3 linked regions of the Schizosaccharomyces pombe genome follow. The gene in region 1 interacts genetically with each later gene. Each region holds a gene or a part of one and is shown on either strand. Other genes may lie near its edges.

What was found.
Region 2: mutations in rfp1 (region 1) and rfp2 are lethal when combined (synthetic lethality), as found in Schizosaccharomyces pombe (3 studies listed by BioGRID, with this or other methods).
Region 3: mutations in rfp1 (region 1) and brl1 impair growth when combined (synthetic growth defect), as found in Schizosaccharomyces pombe (one study listed by BioGRID).

Annotation. Positions count from the first base shown.
Region 1 is NC_003424.3:2,464,869-2,472,740, forward strand, and holds rfp1 (SUMO-targeted ubiquitin-protein ligase subunit Rfp1), read right to left. Parts: upstream 2,442-7,872; 5' UTR 2,392-2,441; coding exon 1,627-2,391; 3' UTR 1,346-1,626; coding exon of another isoform or gene 1,245-1,345; 3' UTR 1,202-1,244; coding exon of another isoform or gene 1,010-1,201; 3' UTR 968-1,009; coding exon of another isoform or gene 578-967; 3' UTR 538-577; downstream 1-537. Other genes in the region: mRNA-decapping complex catalytic subunit Dcp2, read right to left, coding at 1-83; recombination protein Irc6, read left to right, coding at 480-537, 578-967, 1,010-1,201, 1,245-1,345; transport protein Yos1, read right to left, coding at 3,077-3,132, 3,175-3,276, 3,327-3,386, 3,424-3,451; nonsense-mediated decay protein Upf2, read right to left, coding at 3,926-7,075; protein prl65, read right to left, coding at 7,726-7,872.
Region 2 is NC_003424.3:1,678,012-1,685,535, forward strand, and holds rfp2 (SUMO-targeted ubiquitin-protein ligase subunit Rfp2), read left to right. Parts: upstream 1-2,156; 5' UTR 2,157-2,402; coding exon 2,403-2,424; intron 2,425-2,477; coding exon 2,478-3,073; 3' UTR 3,074-3,460; downstream 3,461-7,524. Other genes in the region: wdr70 (WD repeat-containing protein), read right to left, coding at 171-1,631, 1,688-1,957; 1-phosphatidylinositol 4-kinase Lsb6, read left to right, coding at 3,942-5,816; bst1 (GPI inositol deacylase), read left to right, coding at 7,179-7,524. UniProt on the Schizosaccharomyces pombe protein: Mediates ubiquitination and subsequent desumoylation/degradation of sumoylated proteins and proteins containing SUMO-like domains. Involved in maintaining genome stability where it acts in the cellular response to DNA damage.
Region 3 is NC_003421.2:2,234,221-2,242,654, forward strand, and holds brl1 (histone H2B-K119 ubiquitin ligase complex (HULC) subunit, ubiquitin-protein ligase E3 Brl1), read left to right. Parts: upstream 1-5,626; 5' UTR 5,627-5,754; coding exon 5,755-7,833; 3' UTR 7,834-7,934; downstream 7,935-8,434. Other genes in the region: erm2 (aminopeptidase), read right to left, coding at 1-1,759; rRNA (uridine-N3-)-methyltransferase Bmt5, read right to left, coding at 1,932-2,293, 2,417-2,903; transcription factor TFIIIB complex subunit Bdp1, read right to left, coding at 3,327-3,568, 3,613-3,760, 3,799-4,448, 4,499-4,990, 5,036-5,066; pep3 (ubiquitin-protein ligase E3), read left to right, coding at 8,285-8,434. UniProt on the Schizosaccharomyces pombe protein: E3 ubiquitin-protein ligase which belongs to the histone H2B ubiquitin ligase complex (HULC) which mediates monoubiquitination of histone H2B to form H2BK123ub1.

The sequences.
Region 1 (7,872 bases):
TGCTCCTCTGCTGGTAAATTCAAGATAAATCTAGCTGATAAATCATCCAGCACTTGCGAAAACGTGGCATTTGTGAACGACATATTTCTTTTAATATATAGTAGTCTATTGTTTGCATTTAAAATTCTAAGTCACTCCAAAGCACGACAAATTCGTCAACTTTAATTTTTGTGCGTCTTGGTATTTAAAGCCATTTATGCGTGTGCGTATAACACAGAGTTAGGGACACGTAAAATTACGTACCAACCTTCGTTAGTGATAAACTAAACCATTATTGATTTAGGAATGTATCACACTGCGCTATACTATTGCTCAATCCTTGTTTCATTAAACTGTTAGACTGTAGTTAAAATCACAATTTGCCTTACCTTTAGGTCTTTCGAGAATTTATTTATCCACCAAAAACTTGTTTAATATTCTACAGAACTGATTGAAAATATAAAAAAGCGAATTAATTTTTGCTAAGTACATAAAATCATATGCGAGTTATTTTGGTTATAGGTCGCTCTAATTCTGGAAAGCTAGATTTTATTAAGGGTAAATATTAGTGTTCTATTTGCAATTACTAATTGAAAAGCTTTGACGGGTTCTTTACCGAAGGGGTTAGATGACGAGGCATTTAACAATGATCATTCTGGCTTGATTCATAAGTATAATATCAGAAATAAATATTTTGAAGCTTCGGTTGGTATTTGGATTGAAGAATATTCTAATTTAGCTGAAACTTTGGATGCTTATAGTTCTGAAGAAGCGAAGGAAGTTATTGATAGCTTAGGTGCCATTGTATATACTTTTCGAAGTTTTGATGAAGCTGAGTGGTCTCTTTTTAAAAATTTTATAGATAAACTACAGCTAGAGATTCCGGTAATTGGGTTGCACATGTCAGATGAAAAATTACTAGAACCACCTGATGTGTTTACCCCAGAATATATTTCTATCAGCGAGGAAGGAGTGAATGAATTCAATGGTAAAGTCAACCAATCTTCTATTTATTAACAAGTCTCTTTAGAGAAAGTAGGACTGGACCGTGTTCGAGAAATTCTCGATTGCTGCGAATGGAACTTGTCACAAGTTGATAAAAGTTTCTCGGAAGAAAAGGATGATGCCGGAGATTTCTATCTCCCGGAACGATTCAAAGGAAGTCCAGACATGCAATCGACGGATCTGGATAATTTGATGAAAGAAATGAACCAAATTAGAGGTTGGTAACTCCTTGAGTCGACTAAACTAACAACGAAATTTAGATGCTGACCTGGAAAAAAATGAGAAAAAGGCCAAGGCTTTAAATCTTTTAGAAAAATTGTTAGGCGATGAATTCGAGGAAAATGATTATGAATCGCTGTAGAAACAAGGCCTTTGTTCGTATCCGGAGAATACATGTTGTCGCTGGAGCACAAATTGATGTATAATAACTATTTGAGTTTGCAAGAAAGGTTCAATTAAGTTTTATCAAAGTATTTTTTACTAAAATCTAAATCTGCTGTATTGAAAGAGGACCTATTAGCAACTTAAAAAAAATTCGTAAGTAAAGCTCAGTCACAAATTGTGATAATTTTGGTCGTATTTCATTATTATAGACATTATAAATCCAACACAATGGACTACATTTTCAATGTACAAGGTTCGTCAATAAAATAATTCCCACATGGCATTTTTCGTATTTAAATAACGGCCACAGTCATTCACTAGACATTTTGACTGAGATCGTTTACTGGTTTTCAAAACTTTTGCACAAGAGCCACAATAGACGTGACCACACTTTGTTGCCCATAATGCAGATTTCTCTTTGCTTTTGGATGTTCCTAATGGTTCCTGACATCTTGGACAAACCATCAATGTATCATTGTTAAAGCTTCTAGTAAATCCAGATTTTGGAGGGCCTGGAGGCTTGTAAGACTGTTTTATATTTTCTAAAGAAGAAGTAAAATCATCATATGATTCTTCAAAATGGTTAGAGAAATATTCGTCGTCTGAACCGTTAGTCCATTCTGGATGTATAGCGTCAAATCTCATTCGGTTCACAATCAACTGGAAAAGAGAAGGGGATAAGGAATTAACAGAACTAAACTCAGGAAATGTCCTGGCAATCATTCCCATCAAATCTCGACGTGAAGAAGAACGACGAGTGGACACCTGAGGACCTAAGTAAATCATGTCTTCCAAATACGATAAATGATTTGAAGGAAAGTTACGAGACCGTTCATTCCTTCTCCGGTTCATACGCCTTCTTCGAGGACTTAGAACAGGAGATGATGGAAAGCTGTCATCAGGAATAGCATCCAAATCAATGATATTTGTTGAAGAAATAGAAGTTTCGACTGGTGGAGAAGGTGATCTCGTCAAATCAATTACACTGCTTTCATCTATTCCATTGCTTCCATTAAATTGCATTGATGTGTGAAAAAAGATACACAATTGTTTCCTGTCAAGTAATTGACAACGGGCAAAAAATTAAGTCGATTTATTTGTATATATTTTGGCCTTGCATATATTAACGAAACGGTATTATTTAATATAAAGCTCTAATGTATTGCTGTATATCAAAATACCGCAGACCAACAGTTCGGTGCATTTTTAAGGCAATGTCCAGTATGCTTTATTATTTATAAACTAATGGCTAGTAAAGAAACGTAAATTAGAAGTCGCATTTCTTTGTTTACACATTATCTTTATAAAAAGGAAATGACCTTATGTGATAATTTACTGAGAAGATCAAACGCCAAAGAAGATATGGCGAATAGAGGAATTTTACGAGCTTAATTTAGCAAGAAGAACCAAAAAAATATGCCTCTAGTAGACGATATGGATTTTTTATTAAAGCACAGAAAATGAATTTAAAATACTAGACGATATTTGATAGTACAATTGTTGAAGAATTAGGATTGTATTTATTAAATCCGCTAGATTCTGAAGTTAAACTTTCACAAATGAGTAATTGGAACATCAGCGCTTGAATATCAAGTTCCTGTCTTGAATTTTTTTGAGTATAAATATGATAAATCAAATAATGGATAACACTGCTTTTAGACCAGCATCAAAAGCGAGCGACATTAACAAAGATTCGTAAAGCCTTTAATCATCCCAAGACGAGGTTATAAACAATAACAATCGTGTTTATGGCAATAAGAGGGACTAAAATTTAAAATTAGAAATTATAAAGTTTTTAATACTTACAAGTCATGACAGTTCTTATAGCTCGAATTAAATGCAAAATTCGGCTTTTGATAGTATCTTGTCGATCACCAAATCCCAGGGCAGCACTTTGGGACCATCCAACTATTTTCAATAATTAGAACAACATATTTGGTTAAAATTGTAGTTCATACTTCTTCCTAAAAATCTATCCTCTGAAAGAATAGCAACCGCGTTTAAAAGCAATAAAGTGACTAACAAATTAGAAAGCTGCGTTCAAAAACATCTTACCATATAATATATTTCCAAACCCAAACATAATGCTCGATACTTTTTAATACAATTGAAGTTCAATATTTTTTTTTAAAGGTTTTGGTAGTGATTTAATGCCAGAATACAGCAGCATATTACGTATCGTTATGCAAGTTATGGTTTTCACCTTTGACTGAAAGCAAAAAGACTTCTATAAATTAGAAATTTACATGTTAGATAATAAAAAATCTCCTGAAAATAATAATGTATCAATTTCTTAGCTTCGAACATATTATTAGTGAACTGTTCAGTGTTTTTCAATTGGTATTAATAAAGTATTGTACCTAATTAGCTTGCATATTTTAGAATGTAAATAATTAAAGAAGGCTACCATAGTAAATTGCAAGCTTTGATTTGGTAATGAAAAAGCTAAATATTATACAAAAGGTTCGTCTATTCTAGTTGTAAACGAAGCAGGTAATTTACCAGCAATGGCTTAGAATTTCGGTATTTAGAGGACGAAGATAAACAAGAGCTTCTCTTATTCGAAGTTCAAAACCATTTCTTTAACACGTTTCCGTTCCATTATTTCTTCAGTTTGCTGATTCTTGGTAGACCTGACCAACGAAGAATGCGAGGGAATCTCTAAATATTGAGAACGCTGTTTATTTCCCCTTTTGGTCAATAAAGTAAACATCACGTGCGACGATTCGCTAGCTGATTCCTCATTTCTTGTCACATATGGAGAGCCTAGGCTAGAAGCTCTAAGAGGAAGTGGAACATCAAATCCCGGATTTTTCTCATGCATACGAGTCAGTAAGCTTTCATTAGTTAGGCGCTCAAACTCTTCATCAAGCTCTCTACTTAATTGCATTTCGTTATCAATATCTTCGTCTTCACTATCCAACAGATCAGACTCTTCCAATCCCGATGATTCCTCGTCTGTTTCAGATTCATCTGATATATCTTCCGGCAGATAAACACTTTCTTCATTCGAGCTAATATCACCATCATTAGCACCCTGGAATACTGGACGTGTATCATCTTCTTCCCAATCATCAGAAATGGCCTGAAGCCTTTCCGTTAGAGCATTCCTGGCTTCCTCATAATGCATGTATACTTTCATGCTAGGTCGCACATATCCTATCACGTCTTCAAATTCATAAAGCATATCTAAAGGCATTTCTGGTTGAATGAGAAAATAACACTGATAAGCTAATAGATATGTAAGCATCGTCTTTTTCGTTTTTGAACGGATGATTGATGGTCCACAAGTCTGCAAAACTACAACAATAAGTCTTAATCGAAACATGTCATTGTTAATATTGGTTAATGTTGACGCTTTCATGGTTAAAAAAGATTCAAATTTCTCTAATGGTAGTAAATGGAACAAAAAATTTGTAATTGCACGCACGTCGAGCATATGGATGACACAAAGTTCAGATATAAATCGAGCTTGTGCCAATCTTTTTTGCTTCTCCACATGATCGGAATTATTAACGGCTGAAAACAAACTTTCCAGTGTATCGTCAATCACATGAATACAGAATTCTGGATGGAACTTATAAAGCGCACTAAGCAGACGAGCAAGAGCATTTAAAGAATTATATTTTATATTCCAAACCTCCATAATTGTATTGTACAGAATTTGATAATCGTCTTTCCAATCAAACTTCCTAAGCAGTAAAAGGGTCGGAAAGACATTGTCATCTTTTAAACGAATTTGAATTAAATCGTACAAGAATTCCTCTTTCAATGATTTTTTTTTTGAAACTATGATACCACGCTTTGGCGGATTGACGAAGTGTAAAGCATTTTCTAGTACAAGCTGATCTTGAGAGGCAAGCGCAGAAGCCAATTTTTTTTTCTGAATGGCTTCTAAAAACGATTGCATTTGCAACTTGGTTTCCGGATAACGAAGAAGAAATCTCCCACAACTTTCTAAAAGTAATGCTAAAACTTCCAAGTCAAATGGTGTAAACTCATTTATACACAATTTATAGCATTCAAAAACCATGTGGAAAGGCATCAACTGAAATTTAGTAAGTTCAGAAATATAACGAACAATAAGCAATCTAGTATCGTATTCGTGCTTAGCTTTTCGATGAATCATCCTTTTGAACGAATGTCTTGCATGATCTACCAATGAAGTGGAAAACTCTGATGAAAGTTGAGAAAGAATACGTGCTAATCGAACATAATAAGGAACAAGGAAAGACGATGTCCTAGGGATAGTGCACAAAGCCTTTATAAGTCGATTCCTAGATGCCTTTGTATTTAAGTCGTAAAACTCCAAGGCCATTTCATTCGTGAGTTCTAAGGAAACCATGGAGGGTAATTTTAGCAAGAAGTTATCAACTCTTGAGCTTACTTGCGTTGTATTTAGATCGCCCGTTGAGTCCTTAAGATCATCTTCTTTTTTATTGTTTTCAGATGAAGAACGAATACCTTCCTGACTGGATTCGTAAATGCTACTTTTCATTTCAGCTATAGAACCTTCATTAAAATTTGGGAACACCTCGTAAAAAAAATATTGCTCTCTATCATCCCAAACTTGAGCCGTTTCAACATTGGCAGACTCACTCCTTTCGCCTGATGCATTAAACACGCTATTAGTTCCAGAGGAAGCCTTTTCCATAAAGTTGAGTTCCAAGAGATCTTCGGAAGCTTTTCTATTCAATACTTCTGAAAGAGAAGCATAAGAAGAAAATTCAGACTCGATCGATTTTGAAAAGTTAGCAAGGCGCTGGAATTTTTCATTGTTTGGATCTGCCCTTATAATGCTTTGCTCTTGATATTGTTTGTTTAATTCTTCAAAAAGAGATTTTCGCTTTTGGCAGTAGACCTCTAATTTGTCTACGTAGGAATTCAACGACTTTCTTAAATAAGTCCTCCACACAACCGGATTAAGGCGATTAACTAGTTCTAAAGTTTCTTTATCTTCAAAATCCTCTGTAGTGAAAAGTTCGCAAGAAAAAGTCCTCACCAAAGATGTCAAAACCGGTAACAAGAGAAACCCAAATCTTGTGTCCATAAGGTCATTGAATAGCAGAACCACCAAGGGTTTTTTTAAATTTTGCTCTTCAAACCATGGCTTACGAAACTTTTTATCATTCGAATCAGTAGAAGGTAAATAAGAGACGAAATCCTCAGGAGTGCCAACAACACCATTTAACCAAAACTCAATCAAAAACCTAAGGAGCGGTCTAACTTTGAGTAAATGAGAGGAACGGTCCTTTTCGGAAACTTCGTTTTCATTTTGCTTTAGTTCAAAGTATGATTCGTGACACAATGAGTATCCTGGGTTTGGGTATAAAGCACAGTATAAGTTGGCCAGCATGGGTCCAGTAAAAGCCGTGGAAAAACGCAGATTAAGAGCCCAAACAATTTTGACTGACGACAGTATGTCTTTAGTAGCTTTACATTTCATCATTCCTTCTACGATGGCGGCGGTAATTTCAGGAATGAACTTTTTCAAAGACAGGGTTTTTATTTCCTTTATAAAGGAATCGTAATTTTCAGAAGTTAATGAGGACTTACATCTTTTCATAAATGCTGTATTTTTCTTTAGAGAAGAATCCAGCTGGCTCTCAGTATGAAATATATTTTTGTCACCATCTTTGGCTCGGAAGGCAAGCTCTCTATTATCCAAATATTGATTAAGTTTTTTTATTTGTTCTTCTCTTGACATAATTTAACGAAATTGCATTGAAAAGCACTTCAATTCTCATATCTTGTTTAGAACACTAGTCGACGATAGTTGGCGTAAAGTGAGTAGATAAATTTGACACATGTCCTCTTCCACAACGAAATAATATTGTAAAGTAACTATGGCAAGTATCTTAAATTATACTGGTTTTTTTTTTTAAAAAAGAATAAACAGTATTGGATTATATTTTAGTTGCATAAATGCTATATTGTTGCTGCAGTTTCATATATTAGAGGAATAAATCAATTGGGGATGATTAGAAGCAATAGGAGGTTTGTGCATTGGTACAATTTAAACATAATTTGTTAGGCATGAAGAATAAAACAGTTAATACAGGTAGATGTATGCATCATCTTGATAAGGACCTTTTATGATTGACGAAAATATATCTACGGTTTCCACTTTTACGCTTACTGTTGATGTGTAACAATCTTAAATAAAAAGGAAAAAAAGGTAACAGTAGCAATTTATTGAAGCTATTAAGTGTGCTAACAGAAATTCAATACAATTGTTGATACTCAGAAAGGGTAATTAAGCAATACTCAGAAAACCATGTATTGCCTTCGAATAAATAAAACACTTTTATAAATAAATATCATATTCAACAAAAAATTGCTCAGATCGTTAAAACATTAGTCTAGGATACGAGAAATGTTTCTCTCCTTGTAGGTAGCAGCCTTTCCAGTATGATCGTTCAATATTTCATAACGAGTCTCCTCTCCGCTATCGTTTTTAATCACCTGCTGGATAACTCCTGTTGAGGTGCTGGTACCGCTAGG
Region 2 (7,524 bases), 790 kb from region 1:
AAAATAATAATCGTCAATAACTTAAGCATACGAGAGCTTAAACTTTTTTGTCATTATGTAAAGCTGAATAACATCGCTAAATATTAATAAGTCCATCAATCTATCTTCCCACATTAAATATGTTGACATTCTTTTCGAACGTTGATTTTCATTTTTTTCAACTTTAGTTTTCATCTTTTTTGCTTTTTTGAAGGGTTTCCTTCTTCAGAACTAATATCTCCTTCTGTAACACCTTGATAAATGGGAGTTGGCTGAGTTTCCGAGTACATTTTCGTGAACATAGGATTTGATTTTGCAACGTCAGCATATTTGAGAAGGGCCTCACGAGGATCTTCATTAAGCATGGTTGCCAAAGGAATGTCATCGACAGAGTTTTCTTCTAGCAAGCGACCAACTTGAGGCTGCCGAGAAAGCTTAGGATCTTTGCGTACTGCATTGCGCCGACGCCGTGCTTCCAAAAAATAAGCTGATGCGGATTCAGTCGTTTCCTCTACAAGCCCAAAATCAGAAGTTCCAGCGGATCCACTCAATGAGTTTATATGCACAGTGCTAGATAAGTCGTCATCAATATGCTTCGACTTAGGAGGGCGCATTGCTGCATCCTTAACTCCTCGTATGGACTCATTAGGCGAAAAGAGAACATATGCGTTGCCATCAGCCGACCCCAAAGAAACCTGATTTATTTTTTCGTTCCAAGAGACAGCTGAAACGGAAGCAGTAACCGTCGACTTGGAATCGAAGAATAACGTAGCTTTCGTATCTAATGTCATTGCGTCTAAAACGAATAAAGGTGCTTTCATGCTATTGACAGCTGTAGAACCAGCAAGTATAAGCTTTTGGGTAGGAGAAAATATTGCGTTGCCTCCAGCTTTAGGAGTTAAAATGTCTATACGCTCATTCACACATTTATTAGAATTTCGCAAGTCCCAAACACGAAGGGCATTGTCTTCTCCTCTACTTAACAAATAATTTCCGTCCTGTGAAAAACTAAGACAGGAAATACCTTGTTGTGGTAAATGTGCATCCTTAATTTTCATAACAGGTCGTTTAGTACGAGAACCCTTTTGCCAAAATTGTATGGATCCATCCAGTACAGCAGTTGCAAAATTATCGGGTTTTGCTGGATTCCAAGCACAACTTGTAACTGGTATACGAGACAGTCCGGTGTGAGAACCTTCTGGTACATGGACGAAAACTTCCAATTGCGATTTTGTGCGATTAACATCCCAAATACGCGCAGTACTATCATACCCAGTAGTTAAAAATATTTGAGAGCTATCAGGCTGCCAGCAGCCATCAGTAATTTCAGCTATATGTCCTTTTGTATTGTACATGTTACGGATATATTGATCTCCCTTACTAAACCGTACAATCAACGAGCCATCACGGTCATATAAAATCGGCTGAGAATGGGTATACAATGCAAGGATTTGGTTTTTAGTAGAGCAACTTAATTTGCTCACTGGATAACGACCAACATTGTCAGCATTTGTGTCTGTAGGATCGATAATTTTGAAAGGATGAGGATTAGTAGCAGACAAGCCATTTAAGTCCCAACAATGGATTGTGTTGTCCAAAGATCCGGTGTAAAAACGTGACCCATTTTTGTCAAACGTAGTAGTGGTAACAATCTTACCAAAAATTAGTAAAAATGTAGTAAAAGCAGAAAACTACAAAATCAACTTACCTTAGAATGTCCCGGAAACATAATTTCATGCGAACCTGGTACGCCAACGTCCGTAATGTCGTCCTCATTCTCTTCGCTATCCCAATCCTCAGAGTCTGAGGATTGTAAAGTAGTACTCTTTGAGTTGAGTTTTGATTCGGATTCTTTTTCTACACTGTTTATCAAAAAGCTTTCTTTCGGTCTTATGAATCTTGCAATTAACGCATTTATATCGTATGTTTGTGCTTGCTTGCCAAACTGTAAGGGAATTGTATTATTTGTGCCATCCATTTACGAAAATCTGGATATTGTAAAATTTTAGAGGCTGATATATTGTTTCCCTATTATTTTTTTCAAATAGCCATTTAACTAACTGACAACAAGTTGTTCAAAATATTTTGTAACGAAAAGTGCAGGGTGAGAAGTTTCAATTACTGAGTTGTGGGGTGTGGCAGCACTACGTACTTCATTCTACCCAAGTTAGCGATTTAGGCTTTGCTAATTGATTTATCTCCTAAGAAGATTACATTGAAGCTTACGAGGAGTACATATTTTCGTTGCCGCTCTAAAAATAAAGATTTATAGCAGTGTGCATATTCTTTTTCTTCAACACACAGTGATGCCGAATCATTTGAATTTCACGGGGTTGATCGATTTTACCTACAAGTTGCATTAAAAAAAACTGATAAGATTATAATTGCTTTGGGATTTAATAAAGGTTTATGCTTTGTGTTGTATGAATCTGCATGGACTAGAATGTAAGTGAAAATTTCGGTTTATAGAATATATGTTAACGTCTACACGTTTCTAGTACCAGGAAGGGATCAGAGGTTAAGCCCTGAGGTTATTGACCTAACCGAAGATATAGAAGATGACGGTGCGGATGTTTCAGAAGTTACTTTGCTAGATTTAACGAGAATACCAGAGTTCCAGCCTCGTCGAAGGATTCGTACAAGCCGTAACCACCTTGACGCTAATCTTTCTAATGTTCCAACTATTAATTCTATTCCTTCTCCAGTCACTCGACCTCCCGTGGCTGTTGGAGGGGGGATATTCTATGGTGCACGAAGGACTAGAAACAGGTCTCAAACCCAACGGAGAACCCTTCTTGAAAATGGGTTTCGAAATTCAAGAAAAAAAGCTCAGGATTCATCAAATTCTATCGCCGAAAGGGTATCTCCTCCACCTGGGTTTTGTTATGATGTCCATCCTCATAATAATATTGCATGCGCAAAATGTGGAAATGAGTTAGTAAGTGATGAGAAAAAATCCATTTTTGCTGCAAAGTGTGGACACTTATTTTGTTCTACTTGTGCAAAAGAGTTACGCAAGAAGACTGTGCCTTGTCCGGTGCAACATTGTAGAAAGCGTATAACCAAAAAATTTATATTTCCTTTATATTTATAATTTATCGATTGGATACTAAGTGTTATCCATAGAGGATATTTGGCGGTTAAGTAATACGCTGGCGATTTTTTGGAACGTTTTGTTTTGCTTTAATAACCAGTAATGGTTTTAAAGGATACGAGTTTTTGTAATGCTTATAAGAACTAAGGTGCTCTATTATCCTCAATGAAAAGATTTATTCATTATTGACGATTATTTCCCCTTTTTTCAATTATTTATTCCCGTCTTCGAGGCTATCACACAAAAACAATTGCTTTTCTTTCTATATTGATTCATCATTTTTCGTACAAGGGAAATTAATTAGAGCTTTTCTTACCCTAAAACCTTCTACAAAAAACAAATCTGGATTCAATCTTTTCAATACACTATTTAGATGAGTATTATTTGGGATACTAGGAATTCTCGTAATGTTCAATTTCATGTTGAATTTATTTATTTACTGCAAATTAAAATATTCTTCAGCTAAAAATCTTAGTATATTCAAGGGAGTTTCCTGAAAGAGTTTTTTCTGAATTTCAAATATACAGTAATGTTTGTTTATAATTTACAGTATCTAATCGATTCAAGTATTTAAACATTGTATATATAATATATATATACTGCTTAACGTACTAAACCCACAGTGTGCTACATTACGTTACTCATTGCAGCAAAGATTATGAGCAGTTGATTCAAGTGCTAACCATGTTCCAAGTGTAAAAACAGAGACTTTGCTAGGCAATTTAGGGAAAGAGATACGTTAGCAGTGATTTGACACGCTCATTAATATCATAGTATCACTTTTCCGTTTCGGTCATTCTAGAGTTTTATTTTAAAAAAGCCGAGTTTCGTTGATTCTTGCTTTTGTGCTGTACTTGCACAGGGCGTTATGGAATCGACATTCCATTCAGATACTCTCGATTCTTTTCCAAATTATCAGGAAAATAGTTTAAACACTAATGAGGAACAGACCAATCCCTTAGAATCGTTAAGGGATGGATGGGCTTCGTCAAACAGTTCGTCTTCGTCGAGTCTTCTTCTTCCAGACGAAAATGAGGGAAATGAAGTCTTTGGAAGCTTAAAAGGGCTAGTTACCCAGTCAAAATTTGGTCAATGGGCTAACAAATTAAGCAAGTCTTTGCAAGCAAGAAGACGAAAGTCTGAATCAATCTCAAAACCCCGAGTTTACTATTCAGTGTTCATGGCTCCTTCTTGGGTTTTGCATGCAGAAAAGCATTGGGAGGAATACCCCCATTACGCTGGATATGATTATAAAGACTACGTTCGACTCCTTGATGCTACAAAGGAAGCAATCGCCCACGGCGTTTTCCCGGTCCTTATTTCCAAGGGGTCCTCTGGATCTTATTTTGTGAAAAATAAAGTCCAAAAAAATATAGCTGTATTTAAACCCAAAGATGAAGAACCGTATGGAAAGCTAAATCCTAAATGGACGAAATGGTTCCATCGAAATTTATTTCCTTGCTTTTTTGGGAGAAGTTGTCTAATTCCGAATACTTCGTATCTTTCAGAAGCCGCTGCTTGTGTTCTAGATAGAGGTCTGGGTTTGTATTTAGTTCCATACACGTCTGTTGCATCAATTTCTTCTCCAACCTTCAATTATGATTATTTTGCACGAAAAGCTTTTCTGACAAGGAATAAGCCTCTTCCTGAAAAGACTGGATCTTTTCAGCAGTTTCTTGATGGTTTCGTCGTTGCATCCAAGTTTTTTGCTCAACATCCCTGGCCTGGTACTCGACATAGAGAAACCCGAGAGTACACGGAGTCTGTAGCTTCCAGCGAGGACTTCGACATTTTCGATCCTTTCTTAGCTGAGAACGAAATTGAGACCGAATTTTGGACCGAAGAATTACGCCTTAAATTCCGGTTTGAATTTGAAAAACTTGTTTTGCTCGATTATTTAATGCGTAATACAGATCGTAATTTGGATAACTGGATGATCAAGATTTGTTACGAACCCTGTGATAATGAAGAATATTATAAATCAATTAATCTTTTATCTACGAATTTAACACCTAATATGTCTGCGAACTCGGTAGACCCTGCTATTTCCCAAACGTCGGATTTTTGGAAGGGACCACATTTTCAAATAGGAGCGATAGATAATTCGTTAGCATTCCCTTATAAACATCCGGATTCTTGGAGGTCCTTTCCTTATGGTTGGCTCTCTTTACCACGCTCCTTATTTACGCAACCTTTTACAGAGTTTACCAGGCAACTCTTTTTACACAAGTTGACTAGCCGAGAATGGTGGGAAAAACTAAGTGATGATTTACGAAACGTATTCAATCAAGATTTAGATTTCGATGAGAAAATGTTTTCGCGGCAACTTTCACTTGTAAAAGGGCAAGCCTACAATATTGTTGAAGTTTTAAAGAATCCCCTCATGAATATTTATGATTTACTTGAGCTCCCTAATTTATATGTTGTTGAGGATGTTGTTCGTATCGAAGTAAATGAGCCAACGTCTGCGAATTCTGAAGAAGCAGAATTTGGTTTACCAATTAAACGAGATTATGGGAGTATTTTGCACCCTTCATGTTCACAAACTTTCCCTCCTTATCCAGGAAGCCAATTATTACAAGCGACACCCGGTCGGTCTTTTTCGTCAAATGCTGAAGCACTTCTGCCGTTAAATTATATTACCCTGTTGTCCAAAGATAGTTCATCTCCAAAAATGTTAAAGGATGTAATTTTTGAAAGACTCCAGTGTGCTTCTTCCAATGCGGTCTTTAGCACGTGTTAATATAAGTCTTGTGTAATAGTATGCTACTATTTCCGAGGATTAAGTCTTTGAAGGTATCATATGTTATTTTCTCGCCTGTTCTTTCTAAGTTCCTTGTTAATTTAATTTTTCCATCATTTTATTGCTACTTCATTCTATTTTATTAATATTAGTTTGATGTTAGCGGTTAACATGAAGGTCTCTAATCATAATTGAGGAATTTAATTTTTTTACCATACAAATCCGACATTACCTGAAATCCTCATAATTGTCCATTGATAACAAAATTTATTATATTTTTAGCTACAGTTTACTCTCTTTTTTTTGTGTTTATTCTACCCATAATTAGTTCTGTTTGAGTTTATAATTGCTTTGCGTTTGCGATTCTTTCCTAGATTATTATTCAAAAATGTTCAATTCATTAAGTATTAGGATCTACTGCTTGTGAATGATTGGAAAAAATGTGCTATTTCTTAAGCCTGTTTACAATCAAATATGTTTAAACATTGCAAAAACGCTTACGTGCTTTTCGATATCAATTTAACGTTTGTTTCAAACATTAAGGTTGAAATGAACACCAATTTTTAATGTATGAAGTTTTGTTACATCCTTATTATCAATAATTTATTTCGAATATAAAACAAAGCAAATGGTTATGAAGAAAATAAAAAATGTTAGTGTAAACTGTTATCCTTGCTAAGCTGCCACATTTGTACGTTGATATTCAGGCAGCTCAGTAAGGCGAAGTTGAGGCTATTCAAGCTCAGCCCTTACGTCTAGTGCGAACCAACCATAATCAAAAAATTAAACGAAAATTTATAAATTCCATATTGTGGCTGAAATAATACTACTTAAAAACTTTCTAACAAAACCTTTGTTTCTGTTGCATGAATTTCTTTCATTGATTTCTTAGGTTTATATTGTTAGTAGACAAACAGTGAATTTCCTTACTGTCCCTTTTTCCCTTCAAGTCTTTAGGATCTACTTTTCATTTCTAATAATTGATTTCTTTGACACAGTCCTCGATTTTGGAGCTGGATTCTTCATTTGAGGCAACAAATTGATTAAAGGACTTAGATATAACAGTGTTTGGGAAATACTGTGAAATTCCTACTTATGTCCTAAATTACGAGGATTTTTATTATATGTTTTTTTTTTCTGTTGTTGTAACCTGTCTAATTTTTTGCAAACTGGAAATTTCTTTTTCAGTTGATACCTAATTTGCACTTCATCTAAACAACTGAGTCTTAAATATTAACAGGTTTTACTTGCCTTTTGAATTATTATTTCCCTTTTATTTGTCTTTAACTTTCATTAGCGGCCCTGGATTTGTATCAAGGCTCAACCCGTATATCGTCTTCTTCGTCTCGGTTTTTTAAAACTATGAAAGACGATAAGGGAAGGTCAGATACTGTGAATGGCTACTATATCTCCAATTCAAAGCTTTCAAGCGGCTTTTATAAACGCAATAATGCCAACACAGCCTCAAACGATGAGAAACCTAATTTAGAGCAAAATGATATTCCTAGCGTTACTAGCTCTGGTTCTTCAACACCTAGCTCTATTTCCATAGAAAAGGAAATTAAAATCTCAAAGGGGAATGTTATAGTTAAGGCTATACGAAGCTGGTCTCTTTATGTTGCAATCATCGCCATTCTTTTATTATTAGTTATTCTACATTCTTTTCAAGGTCGTCCACAGGACAATGGTTGCGGAAAGTCCTATGTTT
Region 3 (8,434 bases), on another chromosome or scaffold:
TATCGTAGCAAAGAAATACTGGAAACGGAACGTTAAAAATAAAATATATGACAGTCCAAATGTTGTCAATAAGCTTTACATGTGCTCTATTTGACAATGCTATGGAATTTCGACGATGAGGAGTAGAATTCAACGTGCTTCCATAGTGCTGATGACTACTAGTATTAATAGAGGAGCCAATCAGTGCGTCTTCTTCATGAGTAGTTTGTGTGGTTACTACATTGTCTACAAAGTAATTAATTCGAATTATCGTCATTATACAGCAGGTAAAAGTACAAAGGTATGAAAGCGTCACCCAATATGTAGAACCAAGCTGAAAGTAAATGGATAAAATAACCGAAACAATAAAAACCAAGTACCATAAAATTTGAGCGTACCAGATAAAAACAATTTCGATGGAACTAAGGTCTTCAGAAGAAAGCTTACTGTGAGTCGCAGCCGCCCTAAATGAAAACGCCAAAGCAATTAAGTTTGTGAGATAAAATAAAGCAAGGATTAAACCGGTATGAGAATTGATCACATAAGGATTTATCCATGTTAACAATAATACGGTCAAGGTATCAAATATGGAAACAAAAATACAGGAAACAACGAAACAAACAGTATATCTAGGCTTCTTGAGCTGCTCGTAAAGTGAAGGAAAGCGAATTAAAGTTAATAATAAAACAATCGGGCAAATGACAGCGAAAATTATGTTCAAAACTTGATATATAGGTAAATTCAATTGCCAATACTTTCCAAAAGCAAGAAAAAACATCGGTTTACGAAATTTAGTTAAGTCTGACTTAGAGTCGTTGAGTAAATTTTTAACAGCATTCGACGCAGTGTACATCATATGTCGAAGTGAACTGGGCATTAGGTGATTAATGTCATCTTTCCTTGTATGATAAATATCTCTATTCTCATAAAAAGCGATATCTAAGCCTGCAGTATGATTGTGCATTTTCTCATACACAATGTAATCAGTTTGACTTCGAATGACACCCCTCTTGAAAAAGTCGTTACCTAATATCGAAGCGAGGGGATAATGATTTCCTTTGAAGTAGGCGCTACTGACATGTCCATTGCTTGACCGAAAAAGCATCGCTTTTCCACCTGAACCGGCTCCTTCCAAATTGACGAAAGCAGTAACGTTTTTTGAGAGTTTATGGGAAGCAAAAGCTTTAGCACCAAAAAGATAATCCTCCTCAGCATTGTTTATGTTTATTATCAAATCTCTGTTCGGTTGATTTTTAGCATAATATCGGGCAATCGCCATCACAGTTGCAACTCCCATACCATCATCAGTAGCACCATAGCCAGTGGATACAGAATCAAAATGTGCTGACAGGAGTATGGGAAACAAATCCTTCGATTTCCCTTCGAATTTAACAAGAATGTTATCTCCTTCAAAATATGTAAGAGTATCGTTGTCAGTCGATTCGAAAGTAATGTTTGTTAAAGTATCATCGATAACTGTAATATATGATTGATTTGTAGCTTCCAGCTCTCGCATACTTTTTAGTATGTAGGATCGAACATGTTCATTTTGCTTGGAATTATAGGGATGAGGCAAACTTGATATATACTCTAGGTCATTCCAAGCTCGTTGAAACTCCAAATCTTTTAGCAAATTAGGTCCTGGAACTTGGGCAATCCGTTTCCAATCTAATAGATATAAGATAAGCAGTACAGTGAATCCAAAAATCGAGCAGGTTAAACTGGACTGAAAAGCCTTAGCACATATGCGTTCAAATATATGCCGTCTAGAATTTGTCATTACAAGATATAATTCGTAAATAAATTAATTAATTAATGAAGATTTAAAGGAATGTAGATTAATATATGGCGTTGAAAAAAGCACGTTGGTAGTCGATATTGACATCAGCCAATCTCAGTATTACTATATACAGTATCTTCTGCTATTCTCAAATTCACTTAGGATAAAAACCTTAGGAAGAATCACTTGAATCATCGGAGAGCTCACTACGCTTCCTTTTTTCCTTCCTCTGGTTGTAAGGCTTTATATTACTTCCATTCACCACAAAGCAATAATGTCGTGAATCTCGCAATTCACCTTTCCATGGCGATCTCTCGCTGATTCCATCAATCCAACCGATAGTTCTTCTGTGTGAATATTCGGGATAAAAAGAAGAGTCAAACTTTTCAGTCATCAGACTCGTATACCCTGCATCCTTGGCTAAACCTTTCAAATTCCACAAAGTGTAAGGTTTGGTCTCCGCTAAAGTTATTACAATTACGCCTTTTTCTGACAGAAGGAATTTAGATGCTTTAAAAAAGGCAAGAAGCATTTCTAGAATTAATTAGCGATATTCGAGATATGTCTCATTAAAAGTAATAAAAGCTATTATGAACGGCGTTTCCAAATTTATTTTTTAAATTATTTACGAATAAAAAACTTTAACTTCAAACTTACTTTGATTATCCAAAATGTTGCGGTCTTGATCCTTAATTCCTTTCCCCGAGTGAGGAAAATTCCAAAATATAGTATCAAATTTTTGTGTCTTAAGCTTTTTATGCAGATGCAGTTTCGTTGCATCAATTTCATGCATAACCTTTCCCCCATTTATTTCTATTTTTGAGATGTATTCAGCAGCATCTGGATATTTCTGCTTTAAATCTTCTTTAGAGTCATAGCTGGTAGCTAACACAAACCCCTCAGATGATACATGATGTAGCAATAATGAAAAAGCAAACGAAAAGTTGCCTTCTCCCAATAATAGAAATCTATTGTTTTTTTCAAATGGGAGTACATATCGCTCAGTGGGGCCTTTGTTCTTCCCTTTTCCAATTTTGTCGTTTGTTAAAGAATTCTGGCTATTTATACTTGACGAACCAATAGCATTATTTAAATTTCTTTTTTGAAGACGTCTTGCTTCTTTAAAACGAGCCTTTTTCCCCATATGAATGAAAACGATTGTTTTCAATTATTTGGCTAAAGACACTTCACTACTCGTGGATACAAATTTAGGTGTAACCCAATGTTCTCTTACTCGCTTGCTTAATCTTTAAAATAAAAAGCGAGTTAAACGGAATGTAAGAATAAAAATTTTCACGACAAACTAGCAATAAGTAAACTAGTATTTTCTCAATGAACTGTTTTGATATATCCTAATTTAACTCTTGCTTAATATATCTTTAGAAACAAATATACATCAGTTTAGTGAAATATACGATATATATGGTGAAATGTTTGCGACATTAAATAAATAGGTTCAATTAAACTCTATAAGAAAACTTCAAAAAAGATCTAAAGAAAAATTAAAAACAGAAAAAAAAAACAAATAACAAAAATTAATTGATCAAACCACAAAAACAAAACGAAATTAAACCACTTGCCCGACTACCTCGACTCCGTCCTCAAATACATAAGACTTATCGTCGGTTGGAGAAGGCGCATTCTTTTCTTGCTCTAGCTCATGGTTGACGATGAGCTGTCTTTGTTCTGCAACTTCAATTGCGCGACGTCTTTCCTCTTCAAAATTTTCACGAATTTTTTGCAATTCTTTCTCCATTTCTTCAACCGGACGAAACACCTTTCCTGAAACTTTACTATATTCTTCCATATCTAATTTAAATGGTTATTATTTGAGTACTCACACAATGTCTTACCAATAGGTTTTTTAATTTTCAAAGCTTGATTAACACGTGCAGGATTTCTTCTTTCTTCTTGTTTAAACTTTAGTTTTATCTGTCGACGATTACGAGTTGGAAACATATTAGCAATTAAAGCAAAATCAGTTCCCCACTGTGATAGAGCCTGCCATGTCAGTAAATACGAGCGCAATTCCTCCATACCTTATAAAATTTTTCAGTATCCATAGCGTTCCATTTCTCAGGTTTCTGCCTATTTCCCCAAGTAGCACTTGTAACCCGACGACTTAAAGAATTTTCTTCAACGTATTCGCGTTCCTCTGCTGGTACAAAATCACGTTCATGACGGTCGACTTCTAGTGAGGTTTCATCCAGAACAATTTGGCCATTAACAACTCGCGTACGAGGAGTTGCAGAGTAATTGGAGTTGTTATTCAAACCATCAACTTCCATTTTATCTGCTAACTGATCAAGAATAGACTTTGTTGGGTGAGAGAGACTATCTTCGAGAGAAGCAGACTCATCCGTACCCTCTTCTTCCAAACTTCCTACTATTTCTTCTTTCTCTTTCGGTTCGCTTGATTCTAGAAGACTGGCACTCAAAGGCTGTTTGATGGTAGAATCTAAAGACGCTTCTCGACTAGAGCTTGCAGTACTTGCTCCTTGTTTTTTAATCCTCTTTGCTCGTTTTTCCTCAAAAAGCATTTTTTCTAATTCGATAAATCGTTGACTTTTGCGGCCAATTCCAGGATCATCACATAAAGCAGACATTTTGGTTTCACTTATGTTAATGATTTTCTCGTCGGTACCCACGTTTTCCAATATCAATTGACTTTTTCTTTTCAAAGAAGATTCTATGATGTTATTAAATAATGCATTTTAGATTAACCCTTTATTTACGTACCTCTATATGAACGGCGAGACTTTTTTGTAGCCGGAGAATCCGCCTTTCCGTCACTAACAGCACTGAGCTGAGAAAGGGGAATGTTCTCATCAAAAAACAAATCTAATTCCTTCATAAATTGCTGTTCGGCTGAAGAGGATAAATCGGTTTCAGGCGACAAATGCTCAATAGCATTTAACGGCTGCTCAAGAACCGTTGGCTTAGAAATTTTAAAAGTAGGATTTGAATGCAAAAGTTTTTCATTTTGTTTCACTGAATCATCTTTTCTATAGGATGAAGCTGTGGGATTTTCAGTTGCCTCTTTGTGAACTACTGTTTGCACAACCGGACTAGAAATATCAGCATTGGCAGTATCACGAGACAGCTGAGCGGATGTTTCTACTTCGTTTCCTGTGAGGGGTTGATTTTTTTCTTCATGAACAACCTCTTTTTGGTCCGATACTTTCTCTCTACGGGCTGTAAATTTAGGGGCAAACCTTGACATTGATTTTTCTGGTAAAACATTAGTGGAAAGCCCTACTACTTAAAAAAACGTACTTGTAGGTGAGGTTAATATTTGCGAGCTCATTGAGTCTGTTTAGACTGTAACTTCGACTCAATTGCATGAATTTCAAAAATTATGTGGCAGTGCGCATATGTTTGTACAAACATTTGCCTGTTGTCCATGAACCAGTAATATTTTAATAAAGAGGTTATATCCTGGGTATAACTGTACAACGAAACCAAGCAAGCCCGTCTGAATAGATTAATATATATGTGTAAAAAGTTTTATAGTCGCAATGATTGAGTAAGATATAAAATTAACTAAAGGTAGAAATAATCAGGGTCAGCCTCGAACAAACTTAGTTATTATAAAACGCTGGAAATGTAAGCTATAGTTTACAGATAAAGCAAGAAAATACTTTACACTAATATGAATAGTAGAATAAATTCAGCAATTTAGATAACCACCGAAGGAATTGAAGAAGCCATTGTCGTTAGCTAATGTTTATTTTGTCATTGCCAATATTAATTATATTATACAAATTACTACTTCGTAGGCGACTTTAAAGACAGGCATAACTAAGGTAAAGAAACATATTATTATAGCGAGGAATCTATTTGACTCACTAACGAGACATGACTACCATGTACAGATAACCTGAAAAAACTCATTAACCGTAGGAATTGGCTTAGTGAATGTTAATGAGCACATATTTTGATCCTAAGTACTTTATTTTAATTATAAAATAGAAAAGGAATTTTTTTGAAGTGGAATGAGCGTTGTGAATGAATCGAGGAAAAGAAGACGTCTTATTCACAGCGAAAAAGAAACGCGTCGTTTAGACCTCGGAGAAGAAGATGACTTAGAGTTATTTCAAAAGGAAGCAGCTTGGCGAAGATCTAGAGAGTATGAGCATCTCACTGTTTTGGAAAAGAAATTATACGAGTATTGGGAATCTCTAGTTTTGAAACTTGATCATTACGTTGCTGCTGCTCTGGAAAATCATGAACAATCATTTGAAGAACTAGAGAAAATCACTGCTTCTTTATATCAACCTGATGATAATTTACAGACACTAGATTTGTCACTTGCTGAGTTCAGTTTAATCAAAGATGCGCAAAACTATTTGAATAAGTATGCTTCCTATTTTCAAGCCCATGAACCTACTCTACAAAAGTTAGCTAAATTTGGTTCTTTTAAATTAAAAGAAACTCCAAACGTCCATGAATGGATAGACCAACGCCAGGTTCATTTTACAAGTATGATTAATTACCGTACTAGCCAACTTAAGTTGGCACTCCTAAAAAGGAAACTTTCCTTCTTTCGTGAAGCTTTGAATTCAGCTGAATTAGAATGGAAACGGGTGCAGCAAGATCAGCTTACTAGTGCTTCCGAAAGAAGTATTGAAAATATCGCTGATGATATCCCTGCTTCGGAACCAAAAGCAATTCTCGAAAATGGGGAAGGATGTTTAAATGATAATGATAATATTTCAAAACTAAAAAACAATTTTCAATCTCAAGCTGATTTGATGCAAGCAAATATAAATTCCAAATTGGATGAACTTTCTCAAAAATCAACTCGTGCAGCACAATTGTACGTCGACATTATGGGTATAACGGATGAAAGAGTGAGTAGAGAGCCCCATTATTTAGAGCTGAAGGGGGTTCTTTCTTCAAATGAAGAGAAAATCGAATCCATTAATCGGGACCTCTCTTCATTGTTTGAGGACATTCAGTTTTTTATTTCTCAACGGACGAAACGACAGAAGGATATTATTGATTTAAAATTGGCATGTGTAAAAGAGAAACAACAACTTATTAAAACCCTTGAATCATCTTTAACCCAAATTCGTAACGAACGAGACTCTCTAGTGGCGAAACAACAAATGCAATATACTAACAATCTATTTTTTGACGATATGATGCTTTTATTAAGCAACTTGTCAAACGCTCGGGTTGCAATTCTAGAAGGTTATTCAAATCGATTGTGCATATGGGATCGTATTGAAAGGTCTAAGACTGGTGAGATGAATAATGTCCTAGATGAAAAAGAAGAAATTTCTGCGTCTTCAGCTTTGGAAAAACTAATAAAAAATAATAGTTGTTTGGAGGCTGAACTCCCAAGTATGTATGCAGCATTTGATCAATCACAATCTCGTTTGTTGAAGAAATATGAAGAACTTGAAACGAAGGAGAAAAAAGCTTTGGAAATGCATTATGAAAAGGCTCGTGCCACCCAAAAATATTTTGCTGCCATGAAAGCTCGGGACATTCTTATGACAGAGAAGAAAACTCTTAAACTGGCCGAAAATAAAGAACATGATTATATAGGGAAGTTGCAAGAGCGAGAACATGCGCTAACAAAATATGAATCCTCTTTAAAAGCTGAATTGGAAGTTTATAAACAAATAAAGGAAATCTACGGGAAACACTCGGTCGAAGTTTTAACAGAAGATAAGCACTTACAAGTTAAGCAAACAAAACTTACTCAAAAACTTGAAGATCTTATAGAGTCTGTTCAAAAATCTGGGGAAAAGCTTATGATCATGCATCAGAAGTTGTTTCATTTGCAAGAAGAGCATACTATTTTATCCATAAAAGCTTCGTATAATAAGAAAGAGTCTCATCTTATAAACCAGGCATATGAAACACAAGAGGCTCAAGTATACAAAGGAATGTTAAAATGCTCCGTGTGCAACTTTTCTAATTGGAAATCTAAACTCATTCCAAACTGTGGTCATGCCTTTTGTTCTAATTGTATGGAACCTTTTTATGAGCATAAAACAAGTACATGTCCGCAGTGTGAAACACCTTTTTCGGTTTCCGACATTTTGACCATTCATCTTTAATTCTAGATCATCTTTTATATGATTAACGTAATGTTTTTGTTATTTTGGTACATAATATATTTTTTGGCATCAATAGTTATTGAAAGAATAGTCAATCCTATATACATATATATATATATATATATATATTTATTTATTTATTTACATATAAATATGTATGCTTTTTTTAATAAAAAACTAGTAATATCTATCAATTTGATTAACTTATTCCATTAAGCAACTTCGTTCATTCATATGCTAGTTTCGCAAGTCTAGCATCATGACTCACTCTCCATTATCCATGTGCCAAAAATAGAGGGTGTGTATCTGTAGCGACTGTAACTAGCGAAATAGGAAACAATTAATTACTATTAATTATTTTTTTAAATATTGGTAAATTAATTTATATTGGCAGCGGAATTATAATAATTCATCTCATTTTCTATTGATACGCGTGCAATCCCATTGAACAATGAGTCTGGCCGAGGATTGGATTGATCCTAATTCTTCTGAAGATTCAGATATTCAAGAAGATGCGGAATTGGAATACACAGCTGATAATCCCGAAAAGGAGCAAAGAGGTGTATTTTCCTTAGAGAAGGTGCAACTGCAGTTCCCTGTT